Linked DNA regions of Schizosaccharomyces pombe. The gene in region 2 interacts genetically with the main gene of each other region. Each region holds a gene or a part of one and is shown on either strand. Other genes may lie near its edges.

Region 1 (5,426 bases), on a different chromosome or scaffold from region 2:
TCATATCCTTTATTCAAAAAAAAGGTTTGCAATTCACTAATTTATATACTGAACCAAGTAGTTTTGTTGTATCAAAACAGTGAGTCTTTACTCAAAATTTCAGCAACACCTTCATTCACTCATTCATAAATCGATTTCCTAGTGTAGCTTACATTTCTCTGTTTAAATTAATTCGGTTTTATTTATTTCTCGTTTTTATCCAATATAGTCATAAAATCAATCATATCACACAATTAAAATATATTTTGTTCATAATATAGAATTTCAACGAACTTCGCTATTTCAGCTGACTTTCAAGGTAAGTAGAATGTCTCTTTACCTACTATCCTTTTACGTCTTTTTACACAGGAATAGAAATGGAGGAATTAGCTAAAAAATATCAGAACCTACAAACAGGTAAATCAAAACCTTCTGCATCGAATTAAATAATTAACGAAATTCCCAAGAACTAAGCACTTATGTCGAAAGTTTAAAAAAGTTGGAAACCCAATTACAAGAAAACACTACTGTCCTCAATGTACGTTAAGGCCACAAAAATTACTATTTTCCCTATTTTCTCCATTTATATTAGAATTGTTTTGTTAATGCGAATTAGGAATTGGAAAAAGTGGCTCCTGACTCAAATATATATAAGCAAATCGGTCCTACCCTTGTAAAGCAAAGTCATGAGGAAGCAAAGACCAACGTTAAAACAAGATTGGATTTCATTAATAAAGAAATGTATGTTTGTTGAAATTTGAAAAAGAAGAATTTCCTTGAGGTTAAAATCGCTCTCTAAAAATGCGAGTTGTACTTCTTCATTTGTATTATCGAATTGCGTATGTCATTTTATTAATTCATAATTATAGTGCACGCCTCGAAAATCAAACAAAAATCTCACAAGAAGAATTCAGCAAAGTTAAAGGTGCCATCATTCAAGCACAAGCAGCAGCTGCTCCACCAAACCCAGCATCTTAAATGCTTTGGTAAACATTTTTTACTCTAAAATAAGCTTAACGTTTATAATGTTTAATAGAACCTACTTTTGTATCATTGACTTTTGTTGCAAATCGCAGACTATTTAATGTATCCATGAATTGCGACTTTAAAGGAGACACATTAACAAACATCAGGGTTTTGGCACCTTTTCCAAGTGAATATTTTAACAAATAAGTTAGCTAATGTCTGGTTAGTACAAAAATGCTTTCAATATAGACTTTACACACTGCTGCAAAGCAAATAAGTAGCCACTTTGACAGTTAAAGAACGTGTTTCGTAAAGAACTTTTCATTCTAATACTCACCTTTGAATTTCGGTATGGTATGTGAGACTTTTCCTTCGTGGTACTATTTGAGGCATTTCCAAGTGCATGGATAACATCGCCAAGACAGCTGAGACTTTTATTAATAGCTTGCGTTTCTCGTAGTCTATCCCCAACTGCCTGACTGTAACTTAACCGCTCAGAACCTGCCAAATCAACTAGATTTAGCGTACCTTTACATATTTGTTTGGTTCTAGAATTTTCACCATCTATATACAGCATGAAAACAGTGTGTGATCTTGAAGACCGTTCATTTGCTTTTGTCGCTGCTATAAATCGATTTTCTCCTGCTCGATTTAGCATCTTGTAAACAGTATCTTCTTCATTAAAATCAATTATTGAAACGTTATCCACTGTTGTTCGTCTTTCCTTTTCATCATGATGAATATCGTGCTTAGGATTTTTCAACATTTCCGCTTTGTTTAATAGATCATAAATCGTTTCATTGTAAATTTCCAAAAACTGACCTCTCAATTTATACACCCACCCTTTCTCCCTCAAGGTTGATAGATAATTAAATATATGCTTAATTGACATCGCTATCATACCGTCTTGTGACGACATTGTGTACGTCTTACCCGATCCTGTTTGTCCATATGCAAATATACTAACATTATAACCATCAATAGCGCTTTGAATTAACTGTGATATTTCCTCAAAAACGGACGAGTTATCGCTTTCAGGAGCAAAGACTCGATCAAAGGAAAATTCATAATTACGATCATAAGTATGCCCGAGTGATGATTCAACATTAGGCCCTTTAAGAATAAGTTTTTGTGGCTCTAGTGCGTCTTTATCTGGAAATTGTAAAACATCAGCAATGCAATATTCGGATTCTTCACTTGGGAGTAGTGGTCTAACCCTACAAAAAACTCGAATATTTCCCTTTAGTTCTTGAATGTCGTTATGCAGCTTTCGTCTGATTATTTCTTCTGCTAACAGTTTATTATACATATCTTCATTTCTCCGTTCCAGCTGTTGGATTCGAGCTTGTAGTTCCAATGCGTTCTGGCCATTATTTCTTTCTTTATCTTGAATACTTGCAACATATTTAGAAAGTTCTTCAAGTTTTTCAGATGTAGAGTGGTGTTTATGCTCTTCCTTTAACAGTTTATTTCGAAGCATGTCAATTTCAGCTAACTTGTCTTCTAATTCTATACGCAGAGAGGAGATTTTTTCTTCATATTCTTTTTCCGAGTATGATTTTTCCGATTCATATTCTTTTACTGCCATTTCCAACTCAGATATTCTCCTTTTAAGCTTTTTAACCGTTAAATCATTCTCATATTCAATGTGGGATATTCGATCATTTTCTTCTTGTTGTTTCATTTCTAATAAGTCCAGAATTTTTTCTTTAAAACGCAAAATTTTCTCAGTACAAGAACCTTGTATCAGCACTAGAGCTCTCCGAAGTGATTCACAAATATTGGCATATTCATGTTTATATGACTTTACTTCGTTCTCAACAAAATCCCCAAAGGATTTTCGTTCACCATTTAGATTACAAACTAGAGAATGTGTTTTCTTTTCATGATAAAGTGCAAGTTCTTTGTGTTCTCGACGTAGCTTTTGGTAGCTTGCATTCGCAGCTTCTAACCTTTCCTTGGCTTCCTTCAACTGGATATTCGATATCGATAATTCAGAGGAAAGATTTTCTTTTGTTTCTAAAACTTTAAAATAGTTAGTAATCAAATAAAGTCAGCATAAAGACATGTATTCTTACTATCTTGCTTGGCCTTTTCTGCTGCCTCTCTGTATGATTGAAGTTGTAACGAATATTCATGATCCTTTTCAGCGTAAACCTGTTCTTGTACCTGAAGATGTGATCTAAGGTTCAAGTATGCAGACTCAATATCATCGGTTTCGTCTTTCGATAATAAACGATGTTCGCCATTAGATAGCATATGCAACCTTTCTAACTGTATAATATTTTTTGGTTTGCTTTTTAAATCTTTTATTCTCTTTAATGTATTAGAAGAAGCCATAGCTTGATCACTCTCGTAGGCTAACGTTGATTCGCATATTGTTTTATGAGATTCAATGAGATCTTTTAATTGAGGCAGCCAACTCTCTTTAAATTTGGAAACAGATTCTTCGTAATTAGATTCATGAGTAGAAGCAATTGGCGCTGTGACTACAGCGGCCTTGTCTCGATTGCTGTCCCTCTTCTTGCCATTAATGTCGCTTTGTAAAACGTGATTTTTTGATACGAAATTTTCGTATTTCAAATCATGTACTGCATCCTCTTGATTTGTTTTAATAATTTTTTTTGGTCGATATATTAAGTCCTCAGAATCTGTGTTTAAAGCATCTTCCTGTCGTTTATACCCTGTGTTTATGGAAATGTCCTTTGTATTCTTTCGCATTAATAAGATAAGTTACTCAGAAGTACCTCTTACCTCAATTACCATCTATAAGTTAAAAAGAGCGTTTTATAGAGTAATTCTTCCCAATACTATAAACACGAATTTATCAGCTCGACAAAACAGATTTTGATTAGCAGATGCTTTAAGAAACGTAAAACTATTTTACGTGGGTTAAATATGAGTGTTAAATTGTTAAGCAAATTCCAATGCTACGCATCATTATATGTCTCAAGCCTCTCGTGTATATCCATCTATGTTATTAATCAATGGTGTATAGAATACAATTGATTCCATTAACAAATAGTACTTAAGTAATATTATTTATATTATGTAATTCCACATTCCCTGATTGATTTTTGGAATATCTCAAACAAATTCAGTGTATCCTTACGTGTCTTTAAGTGAATTACAAAGTCCGCGGAAATGTGTAACACTACCTAAAATTTCGGTGAGCTTATATTACGATTTGCCATGTAGCGGTAGGTTGTACGTTTAACTAACAATTGTTACTTTTATTACTTTAAAGAAGTCTAATAGTGTCCAGTCAGCGATCTAGCTAACGACTAAACTAAAGGAGCGAGGTTCAGTTGTAGCTTTATTTAAAATGTCTCGATTAATTTATATCAATTGGAATATATTTAGATAGATGGAATTTTATCCGTAACTATGAATAAATAGATCTTAACTACTATTCTAGCAGGCGATATTTAGTGATACGAAACGATGTATATTATAGCGTAGTGTAGAATTGCTGACACCCAAAAACCTTTAATGTATTATGGTGTTTTTTATAATATCCATCGCTATAACTCTTAAATCAGTAGCCTGAAACTTAGCTTTGACCAATGTCTACGATCTTAAATTCAACTTAATAGACAAAATAAATGAAGATATGGAATAATTTGTTTTGTATATAATGAGTATAGAGTTTGTCGGATGGTTAAATACATATTACGTTGGCATTGATCAGAGTTCATATGAAGCTAGTAAGCTTCCAGGTATTCGAAATGTAAAAGGTGGAATTCATCTTTTCACTTGGTCTCCAACATACCCTGCTGGATTAATTTCTGGAGTTTTTGCTATGGTCCATGAAGATATGAAATATAGTATCGACTTTGATTCGAAATCTGAAACAGCTTCTTTGCAGAAGCTTGATGTATTATATGACGAAAACTTTTATCCCTTTGAATCAACAAAGGATTGGGACTTGTTGACGAAGTTCATTACAGTTCAAGATCTTCAAAGAATTTTTGCTACTGAAGGTGAATTTTTCTACTTAGACACTTCAACGTATGTCAACGCTGATCTTGTGTCACAAGATCCGGAATTCTCAAAACCCTCTCGAGACGATAAACTATTAAATTTCGCTGAATTCAATTTACGACGAAGCTGGTCGCCGTCTGCCACTGGACCTGAACGGTCTAAGCAAGCAATTGATAAATCGTTTTTGTTTCAAAGACTCGTCCAAAGCGTGTGGAATGACAATCCCATCTCTGCATTAGCGGAATTATCAATTTCCTTTCTGAGCTACTCTATTCTCTCCCACTATGGTGCTTTGGAGCATTGGAAGAATATGTTGAGTTTGCTATTGCAGTCTTATGAATTGGCGGAAACTGAACCAGAGTTTTACGCTTCCTTTTTGGAGCTTTTCAAACTTCAGCTTAGCTCACTAAGTGAATCCGACTTAGAAACGTCTGCCATTTTTGAGAAAGGCGTTTTACTATCTTGCCTTGATAGTCTAAGTGAAAGGAAAGTGGATG
Region 2 (4,997 bases):
TAAAATTAATAAAAATTCCAAGGAAGAAAAGTCGGATCGCATTTATCAAAAGAAATCTTATTTATTTAATCAGTCTCACATTCTTTTTCCTTTGTTTGCTGCTTTTAAAGTTAAAAAAAGGATATGTCGCAGTATACTGCCATTGTCTTTTGTCAACATACCACCAAAATGACAGAAATTTTTGCTGCTATTTAGTAAAAATATTTCAAATTTCGTATTTGTAAAGGTTATGCATAGAATGGCTGAGACTCATACTTAAACAGTATAGGTATCTAAACATTGTATGGGGCGATTGTAGCAGCAAACGATTAAGTAGTTTGCGTTAGTTACAACACCTAGTAATGGTTTGCTACCTTTTGTTTAAAATAATAGTAGACGAGATTGCCAATGGCCGATGTTGTTTATCTTAAAGTTGAAAGTGAAGCGAAACCTTTTTCTAACTTTAAGAGTGGGATTTCTTCCATCCAAAAGAATATGCACTGCAACAAGATATAGGACACAGGCAAATTATTTGACAAAAACAAGGAACCGTATAACTACTTTTTTACTTTAATCTACAAATAAATTAGTAGGATGTAGAAAAAGGTATCAGTGATAGATTATTTATGTATTATCTTAAAAGTATTGTTTTTTGCCCTTTGAAGGGCAAAAAGCAAAAAGGATCAAAATTATGCTCCAGCAGTGACTTGAACACTGGGCCTCTTGCTTACTAGGCAAGCGCTCTACCACTGAGCTACAAGAGCTAGTTGGAATCATTTGCTAAAAGGTATATATATATGCATAACTATTAAGAAATGCTCAGTATTTTTTTGAAATAGAAAATGTTGATATTCGGTTTCTATTATTAAGTTTTAAATTCCAAACATTGTAAATATGTCGTCGTTCTTTACATTCTTTTTTTAATAAATCTTGGTTTAAGTTAAAACCCAATTTTACAAGCTCGCAACTTTGTTGTTAATAAAAAAAAATGTTACACCTGCTAAATAAATATTAAAATCAAACTGTTGTTGTGTGGTATTACCTTATTGAGCTTAATTATAATTTCAGTAAAAATTTATGTTCAATTTTTTTTTTTACTTTCAATTAATTTATTTATTTATTAATTTGTAAAATATTTAGACCTTTGCCAAATAATTATTTGTTAATTTTTCATTTTCTACAATCTGTATTAATTAAGATAAAATTGTCTTCAAAAATACTTTTAGTTTTTGGAAAATCATTTGTTTCAGTGTTTGAGTATCCACATGAATTGTCTAATTTTATATCACTATTATTTTTTTATTCGAACACTCATAAATTGTGTCTATTGTGTTACTTTCAATTTTAATATTTACATTCAAAGTTGCATATATTTTTTACGAAATAATGTACTAAATGATTTAGAAATATTTAGATACGATAGTAATCAATACTAAATTTTATGACACATTCTAAATTCACTTACTTTGGCTTTCTAATTTCCTGTTAGAAAAATTGTCATTCCTAATTGAATTTTGCAGCAATGCTCGAATCAGCTCCAAGGTTGATAAATTTATAGTCAAGAAATATGTAATTATTTATAATAATCTAGTCTAGTTGACCTGGAAAATGTTTGCTTTTCTTACTACCAACCTTCTCTTATCGACCTACAGTTCACCCAAGCACAGCGAAATACCTCAAGATACCCTTCTTTTGAAAACCACCTATTTCAGCAAAAAATCTTTCGCGGTTGTACTTTTAAGTAAGAAGCAAACATCAAAGATTGTTTGCTCCTTCATTGTTTAATCATGGGCAGAGAAATCATTACGTTACAAGCTGGTCAATGTGGTAATCAAAGTATGTTCACCTATACTACTATTAATCAAATCGAAATTCTAATTACTCACAAACTTGTCTAGTTGGTTCACAATTCTGGCAACAGTTGTGTTTGGAACATGGCATTGGGCCTGATGGCACGCTAGAAAGTTTCGCAACTGAGGGTGTTGATCGAAAAGACGTTTTTTTCTACCAGGTTGGTTTATTGATACACTTTAAAGTTTCAACATGTTAACTCATTTTAGTCTGATGATACTAGATACATTCCTAGAGCCATTTTGATTGATCTGGAACCAAGAGTATGTTATCGCATCCTTTTATTAGTATTTGCTGAAATATTCAAGTGACTAATGTCCTCTTTACCTTAGGTGGTCAACAATATTCTAAGCGACACCTACGGCAGCCTTTATAATCCCGAAAATATACTTATTACCAAAAATGGAGGAGGTGCTGGCAATAATTGGGCTAATGGTTATTCGCATGCTGAGAGGATTTTTGAAGATATAATGGACATGATAGATCGTGAAGCTGATGGAAGTGATTCTCTAGAGGGTTTCTCGCTTTTACATTCTATCGCTGGTGGAACGGGTTCTGGGCTGGGCTCTTTCTTGCTTGAGAGATTAAACGATCGTTATCCCAAGAAGATTATCCAAACTTATTCAGTATTCCCTAATAGTCAATCCGTATCAGATGTTGTGGTTCAGCCTTACAACAGTCTTCTTGCATTGAAGCGACTGACATTGAATGCTGATTCTGTTGTTGTGTTGGACAATGCAGCACTTGCTCATATTGCTGCTGATCGGTTACATACTCAGAACCCTACGTTTCATCAACAAAACCAATTGGTAATTGATTTATATTAGGTCTTTTCATCAACTAACTATTCTAGGTTTCAACTGTTATGTCTGCCAGTACAACAACTTTAAGATATCCTGGCTACATGAACAACGATCTTGTCAGTATAATAGCTTCATTAATTCCAAGTCCTCGCTGTCACTTTTTACTAACCTCATACACTCCTTTTACCAATCAGCAAGTGGAAGAAGCAAAGGCCATTCGGAAAACTACCGTGCTTGATGTGATGAGAAGGTTGTTGTTGCCTAAAAACCAGATGGTTTCCGTCAATCCTAGCAAAAAGAGTTGCTTTATTAGTATTTTGGATATCATTCAAGGAGAAGCAGATCCGGCGGACGTTCACAAATCCTTGCTTCGCATAAGAGAACGACGATACGCTTCATTCATTCCTTGGGGACCAGCAAGTATACAAGTTGCACTTTCTAAAAAGTCGCCCTATATAAAAACGAACCACCGTGTTAGTGGACTTATGCTTGCAAATCACACTAGTATTGCCTCTGTATGTTTCTGCAAATTTTTTTTTGAGACATTTAATACTAATCTTTGTAGTTATTCAAGAGAACACTAGATCAATATGATCGTTTGCGGAAACGAAATGCCTTTTTAGAGCAATATAAAAAGGAGGCTATTTTCGAAGATGATCTTAACGAATTCGATTCTTCTCGGTAAGTATCTTGTCTTATAATTTCATATTTTGAGTTAATTTACTAATGTATTTGACAGCGACGTCGTTGCCGACTTGATCAATGAATACGAAGCTTGTGAAGATCCCAATTATTTATCTCTTTAAAAAATCCTTCATAGTTTACGATGTCAAAGCAGACTTAAAATATAAAATTAATTCTCCTATCCTAGTCCTACTTCATAATCTATGAAATTCTGCTCAGCAAAGCATTTTTACGCCTTTCTAAAAGAATGGCTTCAACATCGTCTCTAGTTGGTATTTGCTCAATGACAAGAGGTTTCCAATCTTGTTCAACTTCATCACCAAGGTTCTCAAGATGTTTATGTTGTTGTTCTTCAATCTTTGCCTCAAAATCTTCTAATAGACTCTCTTGTGCTGGCGGTATGTAACCAAAGTACCAGGCGTCTAACCTTCTTTTCTGCATCTCCTGTTTGCGCTGTCTTTCCGGTATAAAACTCATATCAGCTTCAAAAAGTTCCTTAACGCCAGGTAACTCTCGAGCTCTTCCGTAATAACGATAATCGTCTATATCACTGATTTGTTCTCCTTCATCCTCAAATAGCTTTGCTTTATTATACAGATAATTAATCCCACCCAGATCACGAATTTGTACCTCCCATTCGTGTTTTTCACGCATCAATCGATTAATTGCATCGTTCAAATCTCGAATTTGATATTCAGGCAACGTTGCTATTCATGGTTAGAATACACAGAAATGATAAAAGCGGAATCAAGTTTAGCAAGTTAATTAAATTTGCTAATAAAACAATCTAGGACGTACCACTTTGAATTCGAGAGATCTTGCGAGAGATATCTTTTACTACACTAGCCCTATGTTTTTCACATATCGGCACAGACTTAATGCTTTTTATATCCTTGGGTCTCTTTTCCGTTGGTTTGCTGCCCACTACATACTATAACAAAGGGGTTAGTGACTGACGCTTAGGTTCTCATGCATATTCGTATGAACCTTACTTTCGCTGATGACATTGTAAAATTAAATGAAAATGATAGACTTGGTAATTAAAAAAATAGAGAAGGAAAGGCTCATTAAAATTTGACACAGAAAATAAATAATATAGACAAGTTTTATGGTATTTATCGAAATCAAGGCAAACCCAACACTTAATTAATTGACCTTCAACAGCCAATTCTTATTTAAGTACTTGAAAATTTGCTCAAGTTCCACCGATTGTGAAGACAAGCAAAAAACTTATAAGCAAGAAATTGAATGCATACAAGTAGTTATTTCGTGTAAGAAACACTTTATAAAACGGAAAAGAACAGCCAAAGTGAATAAGCTTATTGAAGCGCAACAAGCTTCTTAATTCATGGATAACGAAGTCCTCTTCTAAAAAAAGTACTAGTCTAAATAGTAACTAAGTATTTTATGTTCACTACAATTAAAGGATGATATTATTGCATAAATGGTCCCTTTCAAAATGATTACCACTTTTAATCCATCGTATTCAATATACTGTCAAGAATTAGGCAATTGTTGATGAAGTAGGTAACATCAATCATTTGGAAAAGTTCATTTCATCTCTTTGGTATCGGCTTTAACCTAAAAAAGAGTTGTTTATAAGAGATTAGCAGAACGATTTATAAGTATACAGTTGATTTTTTGAATATCTTACAAAGACTTAAAATTAAACAATCGTTG
Region 3 (4,654 bases), on a different chromosome or scaffold from region 2:
ATGAATGATTAAAATTTCAGCACTTTTGGCTTGAGTCTAGGATAGCATAGTCTTGCTTATCAATATTATTTCGTTTACTGATGTTATATTTCTCTAGTATTACGCTCGTTGTAATTTGTTGGTTTTTTAAAATAGATAAATATTTTATGAATTTTTTGTGAAGTTATGTTGAGCAAAATAAGGATATCTTCAACACAATCGATTTTTAGAGATGGTTGAATGTTGATGAAATGGCGAAGCTCATTTTTATTATGAAAATAAAAAAATCAACGTTTTAATGCAAACCATCAGTACGATGTGTGGCGGTTCACCCCTTGTTAATGCTAATTTCCAATAAAAGTAAAACGAATAACTACGTAAACAAAAACGAAACCTCAATGATTTACAATTTATCTATTCAAATTATTACGACAAGGAAAATTACACTGCTTTGATATCTATGTAAACTTAACCAAATACCTGGTACTTGCGAAATGCAGAATCATACATCAAATCCATCTACTTGCTACTAAGTATCACTCTAAAATCTACAAACACGACAAAAACTAACAATCATTTTTTATCATTGTTAAACTTTGATGAAGGTAAGGGTGTCTTCTCCTGTTTCACTTTAAACTCGGCCAGCAAGCAAATATGATCACTAGGGAAGTGTGCGTTAGGGAAACCAACAACGCCGGAAAGATAATCTTTATCCACTCCTTTCAACAAACCGGTTACCTCCAAGCTATTGCCGGTGTACCAAATGTGATCAATGGCACCCTTAAAGCCAGGTGTATAGTTAGTGAAGGAGAGAGCTTCAGATTCACCATATGCAGATTTCAAATTAAATGCATGAGAACGTCCATTAACAGTGTATTCTCCGTAATCATTATTCATAAAATCTTCATGATTTTGGCTAATGCTACCAGATGATAAAAAGTCATAAACACCACTGCCTTGGACGGAATTAAAATCTCCACAAATTAAGATGGGGATCTTTAAATACTCGGGATAGGTAGGTCTTTCATCCTTTAACTGGTCAGAAGGAATCTTGGAAGGCATATTACGGAATTTTGTTGCAACCTGTGCAATCTCATCCATGAGCATTGCAACTTGTATAACCTTGACATCCCTAAACTGAGGATCCCAATGAATATGACAATTTGCAACGATCAATCGCGATCCATTTTCCTTATTCTCAAGAAGAGTAATCACACTAATGTTATCTTTAGTCATAACACGGTTGTACATGTTAGACGTTAGTTTAATGTCTTGCCTACGAAGAGATGGTGCTTGATTATATTCTATCACCATCTTTTCGTGCATGACATATTTAGATGTTTTGAAAAATGTAGCACAACCATCGACGATGCGACGTTCAACCTCATTCATAGTTCGTACGCGACTTTTCGGGAAGTGGACACCTTTATAACCTTTCAAACTCATTTGTGGAGCAAAAAAAGTATCATAGTTCTCAACATCAACTTCTTGCAAACAAATGATATCAGCATTATAACCACCTAATTCTTGCATGATTAAATCTTTGCGATACGACCAAGAGAGTGCCCATGAAGGAGTATAGCCATACAATGTGGATGTAGCATAACGTTCACAAAGCACATTATAACTCATAATAGTAAACTTGAGATTCTTAGATGTTGTAGAGGGCTTGTTAGAATCAGCAGCCGTTAAATCTCTAACAGAGGTTGAAACATTGTCATTAACATCATCATCATCATCGGAAACAAGTTTTTCCCATCCACGCTCAGGAGGAGGAGGGCCAACAGGGCAACCATCGCGCAAAGCAGCAATTAAACCTGCAGTACCACTTTCCATGATTTGATTCTTGTAAACGTCTTGAAGAGGATTACCTTCAATACCAAGAATTTTCAATTGGAAAAGGGTACCGAGTTCGGCAGGTATTACACTAATCATATTATCAAACAATAGGACTTCTCTAAGCTCAGTAAGTAAACCAAGCTCTGGTGGAATAGTTTTAATGCTGTTTCCAGAGGCATCCAAAATAACCAAATTCTTCAGTTTGCCAATTTCAGGTGGTAATCGGGTAAGATTATTATGGTTTATGTATAATTCAGTCAAAAAAGAGAATTTAAATAAATCAGTGCTCACATTTCTCAAACCAATACCACCAAGGTCCAAACAAGTCCAATCCCGTCTCTCTTTCTTAGAGTCAGATTTCGACTTTTGGTCATCAACCGCAACAGAAGAAGTGGTTGTTTTTGACGTACTGTTTAAGGTAGTACCACTGGAAGTGTTTAATGTTGTTGAGGTCGTCAATGTTGTAGTAGTGGAGCTAGTATTGTACTTTCCCCCTAACGAGGATAAGCCAGCAGCATTAGGGCCTCCGGTAAAAGCTCCAGTCCGAGCATTGTAATTCATCGAAAACCCAGGTCCTCCACTTCGTGCTAAAGCCGCAGCATTATGAGCTCGTTGGTGTGGTGAACTGAAGGACCTGGACTGAGTTGCAAGTGCAATTTGCTGTTTCCAATGTTCAGAAATATTACTATTTTCTAAAGCTGGCGAATTCTGTACAGATAATATTGCTGCATGTTGATGGTCTGGCGTCAACAGCCCCGGGTGCGCTCCTGGATAAATTGTACCTTGCGTATACCTAGGATTAAACATAGACGGTATCTCGCAAAATATCAAAGTCGAGATGAATTCTAATTTACAACATTCACTATATATACAATAAAAGTGAGGTTGTTGGTGAACGGCAAGAGTCGAACCCCGTGATAGCTTATAGGTGGGATACGAAAGCTCACCACCAAGATTTGAGACGAAAACTCAGTGTCCTGTTAATCGTTTTTTAGGTATATAATTGCATATGAATGCTTTCAATTAATTCATATTATTAATTTTTTTTCTAAATAATATAATTTAGGGTCCAAACATGAAATTATTTTAGCTTATGTTTAGCGCTGTTATGGTCTATGTAAATATTGGAGCTACTGAAAAATTTAATATATAATGTATCATCAGAAGTCCTTTATGAAGTTTATAATATTAAAAGCTTTTCCGGAACATCAAATATGAATTATTCAGCCTAATTTCGATTCCGATACATGGATGTCTCAAAGTTGTTAAAAGGCAGTTAGTTGTTGACTCATTATCGTAAAGTAAGATAATGTTTAATATTTAAATTAAATTTTTTATAATCTTTTTTTATATAATGCCAAATTTCTTAAAGTATGGACGGGAAGAAACATATTGAAGATCAAAAAAGGTTTATTTATCTAACTAACGCTTATTGCTAAGCAAAGGTTACGACGCGTAAAGGAGACATTAAATATAGGGGTTTGCTTCGTATAAAGAGCTACCATTTGATCCGGACTGTTTGAGAAGGTTAGTAAATATATCGATTCCATTACATTTTCTCATACCTTGTAGACCAATTGACTTCATTAAATGTGGATGTTTTAGCAGAGAAAGGTGTAACAACACTTCCCGTTAGAGAAGAAGAAACAGGATTGTTGTAATTAGTTTTGAAAACGTCCCAAGCTCTCACAGTACAATCTGACCCTCCGCTAACGAGGACCGTGGATTCGCGAGAAAATGACAAAGAGTATATGTTGCCTCTGTGACCTCGCATTGTCTTTATACGCCTTCCTGTTCCTATGTCCCAAAGGTGAATTAGACCTTCACTGTCTTTAATCAAATTAGTAAAATCATTAGTAATAACAAATGTATAACATACCAGCACTTGCCATAGTATGACCATCTGGGGCAATCGCAACAGCAGTTACCGGTTGGGTATGTCCATTAAAAACACGAACAGAATGTCCTCTATGTACATCCCAAAGCCTGCATGTTTTATCGCTTGATCCAGTTAGCACATAAGCGGAGTTTGGATGAAAGGTAACGCACTAAATACAAGTCAGTCATAAGGAAACACATTTCTTAAAAAAGATAATAATCATACGTCTACATCACTTAAATGCCCAGCAAAAACTCTAAGTGGGTATATATGATCACAGCTCCAAAGTTGTGCAGTCTGGTCATGAGAAGCAGTAGCGAAGTAATGACCAAACGGACCAAAGGCAACATCCCAAACCGGGCCAGTATGTCCCTTGTAAGCTACCAAAGCAGTTTTTGTGTCAACAGACCACAGCCGGGCGCTAGCATCTTCGGAACAAGATAGTAAATATTTATTATCGGGAGAAAATGTGGTGCCGTAAACAGGACCAGAATGACTCAGTAAACGTACTGAGCCATCTGAATCCTCTACAGAAGTTGACTTAGGTAATGATTTTTTGTCAGCCTTTATTGACCATAGCCGTATATAACTTTCTTGAAAACCACAGGCGATCATTGTGGAGTCAGGAGAAAATTCAGCACAGTTCATGTTGTTATTGGTGTGATGGAATGTGTACATACAAACACTAGGAAGGGAGGCTCTAGGTCCAAGATGTAATCTTTTACTCCAATCTTTCACAGCCTCAACTTCTGAAAGAATATCAACACCTTTATGAGGAGGAAGAGGGATATAATCTCTAGACGGAGCATCTTCAGCATTAGGTTCATGCAGCTTTCTAAATTCTTTTAATAGTTTTGGAGATTGGTTATTTGGATCGTTTTGGTGCATCATATCCTCTTCTTCTAAGTCCATCTCTACAATTTTTTCCATTTCTTTGTCCATTGGCATTTGTTGCAG

What was found. Genes that interact genetically often act in the same process or in processes that back each other up.
Region 1: mutations in gtb1 (region 2) and pkl1 are lethal when combined (synthetic lethality), as found in Schizosaccharomyces pombe (2 studies listed by BioGRID).
Region 3: mutations in gtb1 (region 2) and ccr4 impair growth when combined (synthetic growth defect), as found in Schizosaccharomyces pombe (one study listed by BioGRID).

Annotation. Positions count from the first base shown.
Region 1 is NC_003424.3:3,437,218-3,442,643, reverse strand, and holds pkl1 (kinesin-14 family minus-end directed microtubule motor Pkl1), read right to left. Parts: upstream 3,755-5,426; 5' UTR 3,712-3,754; coding exon 3,700-3,711; intron 3,662-3,699; exon of another isoform or gene 3,658-3,661; coding exon 3,024-3,657; intron 2,971-3,023; coding exon 1,283-2,970; intron 1,158-1,282; coding exon 993-1,157; 3' UTR 958-992; coding exon of another isoform or gene 849-957; 3' UTR 721-848; coding exon of another isoform or gene 596-720; 3' UTR 527-595; downstream 1-526. Other genes in the region: pfd6 (prefoldin subunit 6), read left to right, coding at 357-396, 447-517, 596-720, 849-957; U5 snRNP-associated protein Aar2, read left to right, coding at 4,583-5,426.
Region 2 is NC_003423.3:2,789,704-2,794,700, forward strand, and holds gtb1 (gamma-tubulin Gtb1), read left to right. Parts: upstream 1-1,647; 5' UTR 1,648-1,766; coding exon 1,767-1,815; exon of another isoform or gene 1,816-1,877; coding exon 1,878-1,990; exon of another isoform or gene 1,991-2,039; coding exon 2,040-2,093; exon of another isoform or gene 2,094-2,162; coding exon 2,163-2,639; exon of another isoform or gene 2,640-2,683; coding exon 2,684-3,148; intron 3,149-3,198; coding exon 3,199-3,314; intron 3,315-3,372; coding exon 3,373-3,439; 3' UTR 3,440-3,518; coding exon of another isoform or gene 3,519-4,024; 3' UTR 4,025-4,115; coding exon of another isoform or gene 4,116-4,248; 3' UTR 4,249-4,309; coding exon of another isoform or gene 4,310-4,324; 3' UTR 4,325-4,481; downstream 4,482-4,997. Other genes in the region: protein Cwf12, read right to left, coding at 3,519-4,024, 4,116-4,248, 4,310-4,324. UniProt on the Schizosaccharomyces pombe protein: Tubulin is the major constituent of microtubules. The gamma chain is found at microtubule organizing centers (MTOC) such as the spindle poles or the centrosome, suggesting that it is involved in the minus-end nucleation of microtubule assembly.
Region 3 is NC_003421.2:636,909-641,562, forward strand, and holds ccr4 (CCR4-Not complex subunit Ccr4), read right to left. Parts: upstream 2,716-4,654; 5' UTR 2,626-2,715; coding exon 553-2,625; 3' UTR 527-552; downstream 1-526. Other genes in the region: taf5 (transcription initiation factor TFIID subunit 5), read right to left, coding at 3,237-3,333, 3,384-3,648, 3,698-3,866, 3,923-4,654. UniProt on the Schizosaccharomyces pombe protein: Acts as a catalytic component of the CCR4-NOT core complex, which in the nucleus seems to be a general transcription factor, and in the cytoplasm the major mRNA deadenylase involved in mRNA turnover.